Arabidopsis thaliana: one gene and its partners. The protein of the gene in region 1 interacts with the protein of each later gene in a pairwise test. Each region holds a gene or a part of one and is shown in the gene's direction. Other genes may lie near its edges.

Evidence for each region.
Region 2: the proteins of NAC050 (region 1) and AT3G18210 interact in a two-hybrid assay, tested with the Arabidopsis thaliana proteins (one large-scale study listed by BioGRID).
Region 3: the proteins of NAC050 (region 1) and AT1G24210 interact in a two-hybrid assay, tested with the Arabidopsis thaliana proteins (one large-scale study listed by BioGRID).
Region 4: the proteins of NAC050 (region 1) and AGL58 interact in a two-hybrid assay, tested with the Arabidopsis thaliana proteins (one large-scale study listed by BioGRID).

What each region holds. Positions count from the first base shown.
Region 1 is NC_003074.8:3,262,356-3,267,595, forward strand, and holds NAC050 (NAC domain containing protein 50), read left to right. Parts: upstream 1-1,992; 5' UTR 1,993-2,054; coding exon 2,055-2,274; intron 2,275-2,464; coding exon 2,465-2,494; intron 2,495-2,575; coding exon 2,576-2,644; intron 2,645-2,748; coding exon 2,749-3,026; intron 3,027-3,117; coding exon 3,118-3,303; intron 3,304-3,446; coding exon 3,447-3,538; intron 3,539-3,649; coding exon 3,650-3,695; intron 3,696-3,766; coding exon 3,767-4,426; 3' UTR 4,427-4,735; downstream 4,736-5,240. UniProt on the Arabidopsis thaliana protein: Transcriptional repressor that binds to the motif 5'-(C/T)A(C/A)G-3' in the promoter of target genes. Also binds to the 5'-CTTGNNNNNCAAG-3' consensus sequence in chromatin.
Region 2 is NC_003074.8:6,237,385-6,242,505, reverse strand, and holds AT3G18210 (2-oxoglutarate (2OG) and Fe(II)-dependent oxygenase superfamily protein), read left to right. Parts: upstream 1-1,900; 5' UTR 1,901-2,109; coding exon 2,110-2,442; intron 2,443-2,709; coding exon 2,710-2,757; intron 2,758-2,844; coding exon 2,845-3,021; intron 3,022-3,094; coding exon 3,095-3,245; intron 3,246-3,349; coding exon 3,350-3,436; intron 3,437-3,559; coding exon 3,560-3,684; intron 3,685-3,778; coding exon 3,779-3,897; intron 3,898-4,014; coding exon 4,015-4,126; intron 4,127-4,209; coding exon 4,210-4,242; 3' UTR 4,243-4,604; downstream 4,605-5,121. Other genes in the region: AT3G18215 (transmembrane protein, putative (Protein of unknown function, DUF599)), read right to left, coding at 148-717, 1,374-1,538. UniProt on the Arabidopsis thaliana protein: Participates in the epigenetic repression of flowering genes in association with ICU11. Functions in the repression of several members of the MADS-box transcription factors family, including SEP3, during vegetative development via histone modification.
Region 3 is NC_003070.9:8,573,010-8,577,142, reverse strand, and holds AT1G24210 (Paired amphipathic helix (PAH2) superfamily protein), read left to right. Parts: upstream 1-1,958; 5' UTR 1,959-2,084; intron 2,085-2,601; 5' UTR 2,602-2,615; coding exon 2,616-2,755; intron 2,756-2,844; coding exon 2,845-2,968; intron 2,969-3,068; coding exon 3,069-3,170; intron 3,171-3,271; coding exon 3,272-3,373; 3' UTR 3,374-3,599; downstream 3,600-4,133.
Region 4 is NC_003070.9:10,002,269-10,005,140, forward strand, and holds AGL58 (AGAMOUS-like 58), read left to right. Parts: upstream 1-1,611; 5' UTR 1,612-1,697; coding exon 1,698-2,255; 3' UTR 2,256-2,313; downstream 2,314-2,872.

The sequences.
Region 1 (5,240 bases):
GCAACCTGTTACCGGAATTGAAATTTCATAACACACTATTCTCAGCTCTTCAAGATTCAGTGTTTCATTCGTGAAGACGAATGCATGTTGTTCTAGTCTCGATACGAGAAACTGCGTTTATGAAAATAAGAAAAAGAAGAATAAATTAGCATGGGCTTGATTTACACCCGTCCGTCACCGAAATGGGCTACAAATAAATCATGGGCTTTTAATATTCTAACTTAGAAGAAATTTGGCCCATTGCTTAAACACGAGGCACAAACCATATATTTTTTTTGAGCCAAAAAAAAAAGTCTTGATATTTTAGCATTTTGTCCTTTTTGGAGACAGTGGTGTCAGATAGCTGACAACCTATATAAATAAATAAATAAAATAGAGTTTTCTTTTACTCTTACTTTCTTTATTAGTTTCATAATAATATGTGTAAAAGTAAGAGTTGGATATTTTTCGTTTTAATTTCTGCCTTCGAATTAGTTACGCATACAAAGCATAAGAGACAAGAGACATAGCGTACCAAAAAAGAAGAAAATAGTGCAAAAATATCATATAGTTTTCTGGTACGCCTCATCAATTCCACCCCCGTACACCATAATTATATAGAATTTCAATATCGAAATGTCGACAGCAACAAAATTCAACATGTCGAATAATATTGTTTTAAATATTCCATTTTACTAGAAGATGAAAAAAAGAGAGAAGAAAGTAACCTTTTGTCTTTGTCACCTTGACTTAAACAGTAATACAAACCCCACAAGTAAATTATTCAAGTTCAAATCGTAGTTAATGTTTATATTTGAGAATTGCAAATGGTTTAAACGAAAACCAAACTACGAATTACAAATTTGAAGAGGACTTGTACTAGAAAATAAATAGAGAAAAGAAGAATAATAAATAGTAACAGAAAATGGGAAAGATGATGATTCGTGTGGACCAAGTCTCTCCTCCCCTTTAGCTTGCCTTATTGGTAAAGTATCCTCCTGCAAGCAAACGTATCTGTCACTCCTTTTTTATTTTCTTTCACCTTCTATCTTATTCTCATTAATTCTTCTTTTTTGGTCAACTTCATGTATAGAAAATAATACCAAAATTTTTTGATATAGTAAAACTATTAGAACTGAATTTCAAACAAAAATAATACAAATTTAAGCAAAAAAATATTAAAAATAAATTTTAAAGAATATTTTTACATATAATAAATATACATAGTTGATACTTTTATATAATTATTAATTTATGATATTAATGAGACCATATATTTACATAGAACATTCAAAATAATTATTATCTTATTAATCTATCGATATATATCACTTTTTATACTAGTTTTTGGAATCTTAATAATTTATTAATTTGTAGAAGTTATTAATTTATAGAGGTTTTACTGTACATGTCAGCATTTAACTTTTGATAAGCACAAAACCATTACATATTTTCCAACCAGATTATTTTCTATTTATCCTAGCGTTTGTAAATCTTTGAACTACAATAATTTATCAAATACAATATAAGATTTTTATACTAAAGATGTATACAATGCATTTAACATTAAAGGAAACAAATAAACTCTAATCTTTTAAAAAAATACTTTACCTTTTAAAAAGAGTTATTAATCACATAAGCAATATTTAATTTTTCATTATTTTTTTCATCATCTGTCTAACATATTACTTTTTAAAAAATATTTATCGTTGGATACTTACTTTTCAGACCACACACTAGGACTAGTGGTTCCTTTATTTTACTGCATAGAACGACAACAAAAAGCTAAGCAGTAACATTTTTTAGGGTTTTATTACTGCAACACTCAAAAATGAGAAATTATTATTAAAATTGAAAATGAAAAATAGTAATCGCAATCCGAAATTACTTTTTTTCTAGCCTTCTAGGAACTCGAAAAGAAAGCAAATTTCTTGCAATTGAAGGTACCTGCTTCTCTTTTTCTGGTTTGTCTGGTTTCATATTAAAAAAAACATTTTGACAACTATATTTCTGGTTTGTCTGAAAAAATTGAGAAGAAAACCTAGAAACAAATACGGTCTTTTTTTTTTCTTTTTATGGGTCGCGAATCTCTGGCTGTTGTGTCCTCGCCGCCATCGGCGACTGCGCCCAGTACTGCTGTGTCGGCTACCTCGCTTGCTCCTGGCTTTCGATTTCATCCGACTGATGAGGAACTCGTGAGCTATTACTTGAAGAGGAAGGTTCTGGGTAAACCTGTACGCTTCGATGCGATTGGAGAGGTAGATATCTACAAGCATGAGCCCTGGGATTTAGCAGGTTCGTTAGGTTTCTTCTTCTTCATTTCTGCTTATCTCTATGATTTGGGGGTTTCTGTGAATTTGATGCTTCTGATTTGGGATTTTTGTCGCCTGGGCTTATTGGTTGTTCCGTCTTCTGGCTCAATTCTGGGAAATGAGTTTAGCTTTTACGTGCTCCGATTCGTTTTCTGGGAAATTTTTTGTTGCAGAGAAGATTCTCTGTTCGTACCTGGCGCTAAGTTTAGGCAATTAGGCTTTAACACTGTGAAGACATTCCATCCAATTGACTTCTTAACTGAAGAAAGTCGAATTTTCTTCAGATTGCTTTAAGAATTTCGTGTTTGCTTGTGCTACAGTTATGTTTGCTTGTGCTACAGTTATGTTTGCTTGTGGATCAGGAAATGAAGTTTGTTGCTTGTGTGTTTGGCTATCTGAAGTGTTCTCAAGTATGATCTGAAAGAAAAAAAACCTTGTGATGTGTTGTGTGTTTCAGTGTTTTCGAAGTTGAAAACTCGGGACCAAGAATGGTACTTCTTCAGTGCGTTAGATAAGAAGTACGGTAATGGTGCTAGGATGAATCGAGCAACTAACAAAGGGTACTGGAAAGCAACTGGAAAAGACAGAGAAATCCGCCGGGATATTCAGTTGCTCGGTATGAAAAAGACGCTTGTTTTCCACAGCGGGCGTGCTCCAGACGGCCTTCGGACTAATTGGGTCATGCACGAGTATCGCCTTGTGGAATATGAAACTGAAACTAACGGAAGCCTGCTGGTATTATGTTGTCCAAAAGAGTTACTTTTGAATTGGGGTTATCTCATTTTGTAAGAATCCTATCTTATCTTACTTCTTTGTCTGGGTGCAGCAGGATGCATATGTGTTGTGCAGAGTGTTTCACAAGAATAACATTGGGCCACCAAGTGGGAACAGATATGCGCCATTCATGGAAGAAGAATGGGCTGATGGTGGAGGAGCTCTGATTCCAGGAATAGACGTTAGGGTCAGGGTAGAGGCTCTACCACAAGCCAATGGAAACAACCAGATGGACCAGGTTTGTACTTTCTTTATACTCAAATGTTTCTTATATGCATAACCTCTGTGATACATCCCTCTAATGTGAATCATCTCTCTTGATTCACAAGATATTATATTTCTTATTGCAAAAGCTCTTTGCTTCTCTAAGTGCTGTTTCAGTGGGCTGATTTACTTAAACTGCACAATTCCATTAAGTTTGCTATCACCTTTTGTAGAACTCAGCTCAACCTTACAGCTTTATCTAATGAAAGGTCTCTCTTGATTCACAAGATATCTAATTTTTCTTTATGGTCCTTTTTCTTTGAGATTTATCCTTTGATTACATGATATTTCAGACTTACAATCTTCGTTTGGCATTAAAGGTGCTCAACAAGAGAAATATTTATTGTGTTTTGGTTAATCTGCAAAGTCGATCAACGCGTTTTGGTTTGAGATATTTTATGTCTGTTGGGGTTCACATAACTTGTAATTTGTTGTAGGAAATGCATTCAGCAAGCAAGGATCTCATTAACATCAACGAGCTACCGAGAGATGCTACTCCAATGGACATCGAACCTAACCAACAGAATCATCATGAGAGTGCCTTCAAGCCACAGGAGAGTAACAACCATAGTGGTTATGAAGAAGATGAGGACACACTCAAACGCGAGCACGCAGAAGAAGATGAGCGTCCTCCTTCTCTATGCATTCTCAACAAAGAAGCTCCACTACCTCTCCTGCAATACAAACGTAGACGCCAAAACGAGTCCAACAACAACTCAAGCAGGAACACACAGGACCATTGTTCGTCCACAATAACAACCGTCGACAATACAACCACCTTAATCTCATCATCTGCTGCTGCTGCTACCAACACTGCCATCTCTGCATTGCTTGAGTTCTCACTTATGGGTATCTCCGACAAGAAAGAAAACCAGCAGAAAGAGGAAACTTCTCCTCCTAGTCCAATTGCATCTCCTGAAGAGAAGGTTAATGATCTCCAGAAGGAGGTTCACCAGATGTCTGTTGAAAGAGAAACTTTCAAGCTTGAGATGATGAGTGCAGAGGCTATGATCAGCATTCTCCAGTCAAGAATCGATGCGCTGCGTCAGGAGAACGAGGAACTTAAGAAGAAGAACGCCAGTGGACAAGCTAGTTAAACCACCGCAACATCTCTCCAGGTGTCTTCTTCTTCTTCTTCTTCTTCTTTGCCTCTTAGCTGTAATCTTCTTAATAGTATGAGCTATGGATGTAGCTTCTTCAGACGGATCAGAAACCTTATGAATCTCTGTTGTAAAATTAGGATAAAACGGAACGGAGCCAACCAACTAGGTCTTTTTATTTTATCCTTTTTTACTTTGGATGTTTCTGCATCTTTTGGGAACATTTTCAGGCTGATCCATTGTCGTATATTATCATCTATCTATCTAGTCTTTTCAGACAAGAACTCGCTTTTGTTTGGTTTCCTCTCAAGAAATGTTCAGTCTCCATAAAGAAAGCTTTTTCCTTGGGGTAATCATTAGTGGTCAGATATGAGGGCATAATCGTCATTGTCATTTGAAATGACCTTCTGGTCTTCCGGACAAGAACCACTCTGTTGCTTGATGTTTCTGTGTGACTGTCTCCACAGTCCACAGGGAAGAGAGCTTCTTAGGTAAAGTCGTGATTAGTGGAAATGATTGAGGGTATAATCGTCATTGACTAATTCAGCGTTACGATTTAGGAATGTGGTTCCGTCAACGACGTTAGAAGACTTTTGTTACACGTAATTTGCAATTATTTGTTTTTTCTCTAAAAGCGAAAAGCGCTTGGTACGATTCAAGCCTGGATTCCATCTCTCTCCCATTAAGTTTTCAAGAAGAAGTTTTGATCACAGACGTATTTTCGAAATGGTTTCATATCTTACTAGGCAATGGAATTTCGTAGGTGTTATAGAGTTTGGTGTTTATATTTTACTTTTAACTACATCGTCCT
Region 2 (5,121 bases), 3.0 Mb from region 1:
TTTGCGTTTTCATCTTGTAATGTTTTCTAATCATTGTAACATGAAAACACAAACGCATACATAATTGCAGACAAAGTTGTTCCATCACATTACAAAAGACACCGTTAACATATAACTCTTAATACACAACAAAAGTCAGAGAAGAATCTACAGAGTATGAACAGCTGATTCGATTTCGCCGTCCATTGAATCAGCCGTTTCTCTGAACGATTGGCTATGAAGATGCCTGGTAAAACTAGTGGTCGTGTCCAAGAAATATAGAATCGAGGACATCATACAACAGCACACAAACATCGGGATTGGCCCGAAGGTCCATAAGAAGAGAGGGAAGGAGAAGTAGAAAGCCCGTAATCCGAGAGACCAGAAGTAGCTAGCTCGGTTCAGGTTTCTAGACACGTACTCGCAGTGCTCTCTTTTCCCTCTTGAGACAGGCACTGTGACTAGGAAACTTACGTGAGCGTAATACCTGATTGACTGGATGTTGCAGAGAAAGGCCATGAGGAAACAGATCAGGATTGCAAAGTTCTTGAATGACGCTAAGCGAGGGCTTTTGCTCCCGTATATGAGATTTGTTGCCGTGGATTTTGAAGATGACGAGTTGCTTACAAAGACGCCGATGATGGAACATAAAGTGATTGCTGTTGTGGCTAAAAGGGTTGATGCCATTATGTTGTTCCGGATTGTCTGAACAGCCAAGGTACCATTTTTCAGTGGTTCCTGGAAATAACAATAGATAAACTTATATCATCTACTGCAAAAGAACCAATACTGAGAGCCAAGACCACCGATAATTCGGATCTTAACGGACAGACACACGACTGTGTTCTTGTTTCTCATGTCTATGACTCTGTTCCTATCCAATGAACCTCATTAACTAGCTCCAAGATTCTAGCTGAAATATGCGTAGAGTTGTGAACTATAGGGATCTGTGATGCATATCCTCCATGAACAAGAAGAGTTCTTGAAAAATGTCAAGCTTCCAAGGAAGATAGCCAACCGTCTATTATAACATTGATTCTACTAATGAAGATTCACATCTAACATCACTTGACAGCTCCAAGACTTTGCTTCTCCTAATCTCATCATCTTTACTCATCATAAACCCTGCTCAATTTTGCTACCTGATGTTTGAAGATCCAAATATTTATGGTTTACTAGTTTTTAGTTGACTTCGAAAACTTCAGAATCATGAAAATTGAGGATAGGAGAGCCGTAAGACTCTCAATACCCAATTCCTAAAATCACGAACAAAGCAGCTCTATTGCCATAAACCCTAATCTAGACCCCAAAATCTCCAGAATCAGAAATACCAAGAAAATCCCAGAATGTCACCAAAAGAGGAACAATAGAAATGAGAAGAGAAAAAAACATACAGTCATCATAGAGAAGACCCATTGTCGTCGAGACTCAGCGTTGAGAGCGATAACAGTGAGCTTGGGGCGGTGAAGAATAGCGTAGACGAGCCAGACATGGTAAGCAACCATCACGACCAGACCCGTCGGCACAAGCACTAAATCCAAAGATTCCTCCGTCCACATTTCTACTTCGCCGCAGAGATACTTTCAATTCGTACGGTTGTTCCGTGATCGGAAAGATCGATGGCGGCCAAAAGATTTTGGCAGAGGCAAGAGACGAAAAAGCACCAAGCTTTGAGAGCGAAAGCTTTCATTCACACGTGTGAACTTAACAAACTCCAGAGGAGACTATCGATATCTCTCACGTGTTAACCAATAACGCACTAACAGACAACTCAAAGTCGAATGATTTCAATTCCACGATTATACCGGTAATTTCAGTTTAAACCAAATAACCGGTTCGAATTATTTAATGGGCCGCCTAATAGATGGGCTAGAAAATCATTTAACTCTTCTTATAAGGCGTATGACTGGTGGTTTCGTGCGTAATATTAACAAATAAATAAAAGATAAAAAAATCTTCGAGGGAACATTCAGAAACCCTAACTTCAACGGGAACTCAAAAATCAGAATCTCCAGATCGAGAGCTTAAAAAGTCGATTTCAATTCCCCTTTAAGATTTTTTGCTTTTGGAATGTAGTGTGAAGAAGAAACCCTAGTTTTTTCTCACTTGAATTCTCTGCCTTCTTTAGTAATGTCAAGTGAGCAGCGAGAAGGTTCGCAAGAGACGACGACGACGACGGTGGAAGGTAACGGAACAATTGCAGGTCAGAATTCTCATTCGGCGGCTCCCACGACATTGAGAGCTACCTCTACGATGGTTTCTTGCCAGAGACTAAGGCTAAACCCTAACAACGAGCATAGACCCGATAGTTATGAAGATCTGCAGCTTGATTTCCCAAACTCGGTATATTCTAGTCTGGAGAAGTACTTGCCTCCGAATATGCTCGTCTCGAATCGTGATGAGAAAATCAAATTCATGACTGATATTATGCTTAGGCATCTTCCTCATGGAGAGCGTTCCAGAGTAAGTACTAGATTTGGACCTTTCTCTCTTGAATTTTGTTTTTACTTGTATTGATGACTGTGAATTGCTTTAGAAGCTACACTTCATTATGAAAATTTGAGCTTTTGCTAATTGCTACTATGAACTGGTTTCACTTTTAGTTAAGTGGTTATGGAAATTTCAATCTGGTTAGATGATGGTTGGTAGAAGATATTGCATGAATGGTTTGAAAATGTCAATATGAGCTCAAGAGTTTTATTAAGTAGTTTTGTTTGGCTGATGCTACAGGCTCAAAGGCACAGTGACTATAGGCTGAAGATTACAACAAATTATCAGGTGTGAATCCTTTCTTGAGCTTTCTTGTGTTCTGTATTGCTCTGCTCCAGTCATTTGTTAGTAGTTTGAAGTGTTTTTCTACTGCAGCCACTTCACAAGGAGTTGTATACTCTAGTTCCCACAGTATGTTTCGTTCCTGCTTTCCTTAAGGCGATAAATGAAAACACAGAGGAAAGCTTCAGAAATATAATATCTGAACCGTCTCCTGGTGTTTTCGTCTTTGACATGCTCCAGCCTAGCTTTTGTGAGATGATGCTAGCCGAGGTAATGTGCATCCATTTTTTGTTTTTCTCTTATCCTTCGTATTTTGTTCATTTGCTCTTGTTTGACCATGCAGATAGACAATTTTGAAAGGTGGGTGGGTGAGACCAAATTCCGGATAATGAGACCAAACACCATGAATAAATACGGTGCTGTGCTTGACGACTTTGGTCTAGACACCATGCTTGACAAACTCATGGAGGGGTTTATACGTCCCATCTCTAAAGGCAATATATTTTTAAATCCATTACATAGTCTATTATTGGAAAGTCTGTTTAATATGTTCACAGTGTTAAAACTAAAAAGCTACTTCGAATCTTTTGTTTTGCAGTATTCTTCAGTGATGTGGGTGGAGCAACTCTGGACTCTCACCATGGTTTTGTTGTTGAATATGGGAAAGATAGGGATGTTGATTTAGGTGAGACCCTTTGACATATCCTGTATAATTTCCCATGACCTGACTAGTTGTCCTAAATGCAGATATATTCCAATACTCACGTTATTCTGGCTGAAAATTATCAGATGTTATATAAATTTTCAGGCTTTCATGTGGATGATTCAGAAGTAACGCTGAATGTTTGTTTGGGTAATCAATTTGTGGGAGGGGAGCTATTTTTCAGAGGCACACGGTGTGAAAAACATGTGAACACAGCAACAAAGGCAGATGTATGCCACTCTTTTCTGTTGCTTTCTTGTCTTCTAACATTCTGTATATGGCTGATAGCTAATATAAACAACTCTTTTTTTTCTGCGAAAGCAGGAAACATATGATTATTGTCATATACCTGGACAAGCTGTGCTTCACCGTGGCCGCCACCGCCATGGTGCCAGAGCCACAACATGCGGGCATCGGGTCAATATGCTTCTATGGTGCAGAAGGTAAATAGCATCTAAAACTTGCCTCTAGACTGCCATGCATCTTTTTTTACATTGCAATTGACTTTCCATTTTTATTTGGTTTCTTATTAAGCTTGTCTTTCGTGTTGTTCCTTGCAGTTCTGTATTTAGAGAGCTCAAAACTCATCACAAGGATTTCTCCAGCTGGTGTGGAGAGTGCTTTTGTGAAAAGAGAGATGAGAAAGTGCGGTCGATTGATGCTCTAAGAAAGGTAAGCCTGTGATTGATCAAGCTTATATAGTTCTCTGTTTACTAGAATGGTCGATGATTCTATGCTCTTTATTGCTATTGCAGAAATTGTTTAAACCACGTCAAACCCAAGCTTGATGGAACACTAGCAAGATGAGCAATTGATGAAACATTAGTAAGATAAGCAATAACATATATTGGATGACATTAAAACTTGAGATCAAGCCCTGAAGAATTGCTCCTGTTTTAAGCTGACTTAAAACTGAGCCTATGTAGAAATCATTTGAGTTATATGGGTCTCTGTTTATCGTTTCTCAGACTCTTTGATAAAATATGTACATGAAAGAATCTAGTCTCAACTTCACTTGTGTACTACAAGGAGTCATATTGTTGTCCGATTTTTTTTGTTCTTTCATATGAGTACAAGGAAGAATTGGTGTTATCTAATTGGATTTGGTGATGCTGCTCTCTTAAATCTCCATATTCGCCTCAAATCGTTGCTCTACTGAGTTGTGCACTTGTGCTCTTCACCAATGGCTAGAGCCACAAATAATGGATTTTGCTCTTATAGAAACCCAAATCGATTGCTTCGGTAGGCTCTTTTGAATATAAATGAGCATTAGGGCCATTGTGCACGTTATTCTAAATAATGGAAGAGAGAAGAAAGTGTAGATGGTGTTTTGTTGCTGTCTTGTTATTTCATGGCAAGACAAATCGAAATTGGGTGTGAAACGGTACTACCAACCCAATTAGTTGACTTTAAGGCTTATCATTGAATCCTTTTATGGATCTGTTATTTATGTCTCTTTTATATACTCTTCCATTCATTCTTCTCACCAAATTCATTTTATTTTTGGGGTTTCTTGGTATCTTTTTGACAATCTATGTTGATACGATGTTTATATATATGATCACACTAATTAGCAATGTAGATGAAAACACAATCCTTCATCTTCATGATACAGTAGTATAAGATCAATAAGGATCATTTGGGTCTGTTTTAAATCTTAAAAGATT
Region 3 (4,133 bases), on another chromosome or scaffold:
ATTTGTTCTGTTCTTGAATCACGTCACGAATCATACAGAAACTAAGTTACAGCTAGTCGGCTTTGATTTGAAAAACTACGAAAGTAAATTTACTAAGTTATTTTCAGATCTATGGCATCAATTCTTTTGAGTTTTGACATGTAGTCTATTTTTTAATATCAACTAAATATATAATTTTAATACTAAATGCTACATTGTAATATTATAATATATATAAAAAATTGTAATAGTAAATCCTACATTGTAACAAAAGTGATTTTAAAATCTCGAAAAAGTTGAAGTAATAAAATAAAGCTTTGACAGATATGCTTATAAAAATTTACAATTTAATTTGTTATTTACTAAATTTACATTAAAAATCTGTAAATTTTAATAAATGTCAAATTTTATTTACAAACTGACATGTGTTTATTTCATTTAATATTACAATACAATTATATCTCATTGCTACAAAGATATTAATAGCAAATGGACTGATTTCTGCAAGGTTTTTGATATATAAAGACACCCCATACAACTCAAAACGATTCATGTCCTAGTGGTGAAGCTTCTACCCGTAGTAAATTTCTGGTTTGCTTTTCCTTGAACTTTTTTACTTTTATGGTTTGTTACTCTGAAGTATTTTTACAATTCTTCTTTGACTTTACCGATCTAAAGTTGGTTATTGTCATGTTTATTGCATGTACTGTTAAAAAATCCGAGTAATTGTTAATTAAGATCTCTGATGCAAATTCCTGTTCTTTTTTCCAACGATTTTAAGTTACTTTTAAAGAAAAGAGGTAATGTGTTTGAGAAGATAGAAATCAAAATTAAATAATTAATTTCTTCAGTGAAAACAAATAATAATAAAAAATCATTCTCTTTGTTTGGAAAATACAGCTCGATCAATTGAAAACCATGTCGGAAGGAGACAGTATATTTGTGTATAAAGGAGACAAGCCGAAGCCAACCAAAATTGATGCAAAGGCATATATTAAGGCTGTGAAGGATCATTTTCATAATGATAGAAAAAAATATGAAGACTTTCTTGCGATTATGAAAGATTTTAAAGTTCGCAAGTATGTGATATACATAGTTTTTGGAAAATATGACTAAAAATGTTCGGTTCAATTTTTTCGTGTTGAAGAAGTAATTAATTTTGATTTTATAACTTCATTGCAGAATTAGTAGGGCTGATTGCATAACAGCGGTGAAGGAACTGCTTAACGGAGACCAAGACTTGGTTTCTGGTTTCAATGTATTTTTACCAGATTGGTTGGAGATCTAATTATTAGATTGGGGCATGAGATGGGTAGGTGATGTTGTGGGATTTCTTCGTTCGTCTAAACCAAGTTCGGTTTAGATTTGTATTAAATTGAATAATTTATTTGTGATTCGTTCTTTTATTTATTTATTTAGGAATTATGTTATGAATTTAGCCATTGTGTTTTATAAATAAGGCTGTATGATCTTTGTTGCTTTCAATTAACTTCATAATATTAATCTTTTTTCAACTCGTTACTCTTATTATTCAAAATATCTTAAAACGCTAGAACTTCACATTAACACATAGTATAAAAAGCAAAGTATACTAGGTGTTGTTATCAAATTTATACTAGGAATGTATACTAGGTGTTGCTATTGACTATTAATTAGAGTTGTTGAATGTGATGTTGTATTAGAAAATACTGTAGTTCCTAAACATTAACCATATCAAATTAATTTAACACATATATGTATGTAATGTTATGTCAAAGTCAAACTAAGAAATATATGTTTTGGGGAAATTATCTCTTTAGTCTAAACATTAATCTCTATTTTCGATTAGATCATCCCTATACTAAAATTAGCATTTCACATTTTTTACTTTTTTTACTTTTCTCAATTAAAAAGTTTTAATTAATTAATTAAAAAAAAGAAGAAGATTTGCCTTTTTCCTTTTTTAAACCGTACTTTTGATGTAATCCTTAATTATATAATCCAACGTTAAGTGTCGGAAACTAAACCCTAGAGAAATCTCTTCTTCTAGTTCTAGTCTCCTGCTTCTTCGAGATCGTGTGTCGTAACTCGTAAGCTAGGGAAGCCCTTTTTGTCTTCGAATTTCGGTAACTATACGATGATCTTCTTCTCTTATTGTCATTGAATGATTTTGTAGTTTCTGGGATGATTTCGAATTGGGTTCTTCGAATTTAATTTCGTACCTGTGTGATCAATTTTACCTGAATTTCATCAAATCCGATTTAAACCCTCAAATTAGCGAATTAACTTCTTATTGTTTTTGTTAAGACTGAGATTTTAAGACTTCTAAGTGTTTGGTTGGTTTGCTCTGTGTTGATATTGGCCACTTTACACAAGTTCTCACGTTGGTTCTGATGGGAATGAATTAGTTGTTGTTGATTTTGGTTTTGACAATTATTTGGATTTTGAGAAATTTAGCTTATTGCAGCTTTATGTCTTGTTCAATTTCAGTGTTGAGGCAAATCATAGATTTAAGTAATGTTATTAAGATTTCTGCACTCTAGGTTCTGTTTCTTCAAGTGGTAATAATAGCTTCTAGGTTAAATTCAATGATGTGATCTGTTTTACTGAACAAAAATCTTCTCTTTCTTTTGATAACAAAAGGCTAGATTCAAACCATGGTTGGAAGACGAGTATCACCTGCTCTAACTAAGGATGATGCGCATTCATACATCATTGCTGTGAAGGAAACATTTCATGATGAACCTACGAAATATCAAGAGTTTATCAAGCTCTTGAATGGTGTTTGTGATCATAGGTATGTATTCTTTTCTTCCCTGTTATATTTGGTTTGGTCTTTACTTTCAACTGTGAATTGATTCTGATGTTACTAGTCTCTTTTTGCAGAGTCGATAAATATAGTGTCATTGCAAGGGTGGAGGAACTGATGAAAGATCATCAGGATCTTCTTCTTGGTTTCAGTGTCTTCCTTCCACCTGTTTCTGTAGAGGATTTTATAAACAAGCTCAAGGTAAACACATGCTAAAATGACAAATAATCCTTGGAGAGAAACACCAAAATCCTTTTTTGATTCCTCTTTTACTAACTAGAGCAAATTTGTCCATCTGCAGACACGGTTTCAGAGCCTTGATACTCATGTAGTGGGGGCAATTCGCGGGTTAATGAAGATGTTTAAAGAGGGAAAGATGTCGGTAAAGGAGGTGCAAGAGGAGGTAATGTTTGTTCTTGGTGGGCTATTTTGTGTACTTGTGTTTTTTTTTTTTTTTTTTGGTTCTCTTTGTTTGATTTGGTTAGAAATAATATTATCTTGCAGGTCATTGATGTTCTCTTCTATCATGAAGATTTGATTGAAGACTTTCTCAGATTTTTCACAAAGAACCCTGTATCAACAGCATCACTACTACTACAATTATAACGAGTGATGTATTTTTTATGAATGAGAATGGAGTGTATAGTTTCTTTTGTAGAGGTTTTAAATCTTTGCTTTTCACCATGAAGAGGATGAGATTTGAATTTGATATACTCAGATGATTGAAACTCAAAGTGTCACAAAACTCAAAAATACTTCTCATAACCTTATTTTGTTTATGTTGAATTTTACTGATGAAAAACCTATGAAAGATCAAACATTTTTTTAAAACTCATTTCTTAGTTTTGTTATGTACTTAATTAATGGTTGTTAAAAAAAGGGTTTTGTGTAAAAAAACACTTCGAACTCATCCATTTTTACAATTTTATCCTTCACCTCCAACATATTGAGATTAATCCTATGAAGTCTAAAATAATACGCATTGTAACCCTTCTTTGTTTTTTTCTTTACTATTAATTTTGTAAAATATTGACATGTAATATATTAAATCTAAACCCTCACGATGAAGAGTTCAACTCTGCCTTCAAAATTTTAAAATTCTAATGTATATCATCGTAAAAACGTTTACAATATACGTATAAATGTCATATTGCGTATTATTTTAAACTTTATAAGATTAATCTGCATATATTGGAGGTGGAGGGTAAAGTTACAAAAATGGATGATTTAACCCTTTTAAAAAAAGTACATAATTAATTAAAATACACCAAATAATAAAAAAAAATCATTAAAATAAATAGAAAATCTTACATAACCTTGGAATCATAATACATAAACAAAACCCTACCGAGACTAGAAACTCGTC
Region 4 (2,872 bases), on another chromosome or scaffold:
TTCGTGACTAAAGCCAAAAAAAAAAAAATGACATTAGAATGCCAAAATTATTTAATAAACCTAAAATGTGGCATCATTTTGACTAGAATAGAGTAATTTAGTGCATTTTGCATTTGAAGAAAATTGATTTCTGTCCTAAACCTGCATAACAACTCCTATGTAAGTGAAAACTACTAGACTACTACCATTTAGTTATTGAAAAACTATCAGAACTATAAATATATATATGCAATTTAACATGCTAGGGCATAACTTTGGTGAAACCATTTTGACTTTTCTAGGAGTTACAGTAATAGCATAATACATATACTCTATTATGTAAATTTTGATAATAGGATCCTTGTTAATTATATCTACGGGAAAACAGCCAGTTCTCCTATGAAGTGTGCTTAAAAGTACACTAACTTAAATAAAAATTACATTTCATACACGAACAATTCAAATATGACAAAACAATTAAATTGGCAAAGAGTGTTACATTTCCGTTAACATATGCTTACTAGGATGCAGCGTTTACAATTTAAGATGCCACTTCATTTAAATTCTAAAACAAAAATTATGGATAAAATCTTATTTAGAAAGAACTGAGCATATGACCTTTATGGATATTTTGCACACTCACTACCAATTTAGATTGGACAACTTCTTTGTCAATTAATTACATACACAAACGTGTAAATATATAGTCTCCTTTAATTTTGCCATAGTTTTTACTGAATATCGATGTGTAATTATTTCATATATGTTCCTTGTATCATCTCTAATTAAGAAAGTAGAATGAATCTTTTTTGTATATATGTACTAGGATCTAATTTAGAAATGTTTTGAGAAGTGGGAGTTGAAGATGCTTCTTATACAAAAGGTACAAGTTAAGAAGCTAGGGATTTATTGTCCCTGCTGAGTGGGTGCTATGTTCTTCTGGCCTAGAGACTCATGCTCACTTATTCTTTGACTGTGCTTATTCTGCCACTCTTTGGGAAGGGTTTGCTTCAAGGATTTGGCCTTCTCCTCCATCTGGTCTTCTCTCGATTTCTTCTTGGATTTTGCAGGTAAGGACTTCTTCTAACCCCAAGATCATGACTATTGCCAAGCTCATCTTGCAAGCGGCCTGCTATCTCATCTAGCGGGAGCGTAATGTCCGGATCTTCAACAACATAACCTCACCGACATCTGTTACTCAAGCTTCCCTGGACCGCTCTTTAAGGGATCGGTTTCTCTCCCTCTTCTTCTACCTCTCCTTCTCTTCTTCTTACTTATTTTGGTTGTATTAGTTTTTCTTTCTAGCAATTTTTTTTTCTAGTAAGTTTCGCTTTCGTAAAAAAAAACAGAAAATTGGTATAAAGTTAACCTTCTACCAAAAAAAAAAAGGTACAAGTTCAGAATATCATACATTCATTATTACCATAAAATCTCTTCTAGTCAAAGTCTCTACATCCGGAATTAAGAGTTGTTATTAATCGACCATAACTATGCGGATAACAAATATTAACAACCTTCCAAACATTAATCTAAGAATTGACTAATTTTTATGCAATTTAATTTACCACCATTTTTCCATCTATATAAACCCTATCTTGCACCCAACCAAAAAAAAAATATTCCTTGGCTAAAGCCAAATACATCAATCACATACTTAGCTTAAATTTCTCTCTTTTTTTTTTATAACCAATAAACTCATAATTTTGTTTTTCTCCAAAATGAATCCCAAGAAAACCAAAGGAAAACAAAAGATTAACATCAAGAAAATTGAAAAAGACGAAGACAGATCGGTCACATTGTCTAAGCGTCTAAATGCTATCTACACTATGATCATTGAGCTTTCCATTCTCTGTGGTGTTGAAGTTGCGTTTATCGGGTATTCTTGCTCTGGAAAACCATACACATTCGGCAGTCCGTCCTTCCAAGCCGTGGTGGAGCGGTTTCTCAACGGCGAGGCCTCGTCGTCTTCTTCATCATCGTTGCAACGATCGGTCAAGAATGCTCACAAGCAAGCGAAGATTCAAGAGCTTTGCAAAAGATACAATAGATTGGTGGAGGAGTTAAAGGTGGACGAAGTCAAAGTCAAGAAGGCAGCTGCATTGGCGGAGACGAGGGCCGTGAATAAGGATGCGTGGTGGAAAGCAGATCCAAATGACGTGAAGGATCACGAAAAGGCGAAGAAGATGATGGAGAAGTATCAAGAGCTCAAAGAGAAACTGCGTGAGGAAGTTGCTTTAAGGATCAAGAGAGGACATGATGAGAATAATAACAAATGATCTGTAATCAAGATTTTAATTAGTAGATCACTTGTGATCATCACTAGTTAATTATGAGTGTTAAGAATTATGTTTTTTATTTGTCTTTTTTATACATTATGAATTGTTATTGTTTTCTACAACATCCAGTAATGGGTTAAAAAAACTGAAATATTTTGTTTTAATAGATATCACCTTTGAGTTTAACAAAATCTTATTAAAACAGAAAGAAAAAAAGTATTGTGTAGTAGTATGATGCTCTTTAATTTTTATTTTATTTTACCAAAGAGAAGTCATGAAAGATTTTGTAACATATTAAACTGTGAAAAATGCTGCTACAAGGAGACTTTGTTAAATTGGCAAAGAGTGTTACATTTCCGTTAACATATGCTTACTAGGATGCAGCGTTTACAATTTAAGATGCCACTTCATTTAAATTCTAAAACAAAAATTATGGATAAAATCTTATTTAGAAAGAACTGAGCATATGACCTTTATGCATATTTTGCACACTCACTACCAATTTAGATTGGACAACTTCTTTGTCAATTAATTACATACACAAACGTGTAAATATATAGTCTCCTTTAATTTTGCCATAGTTTTTACTGAATATCGATGTGTAATTATTTCATATA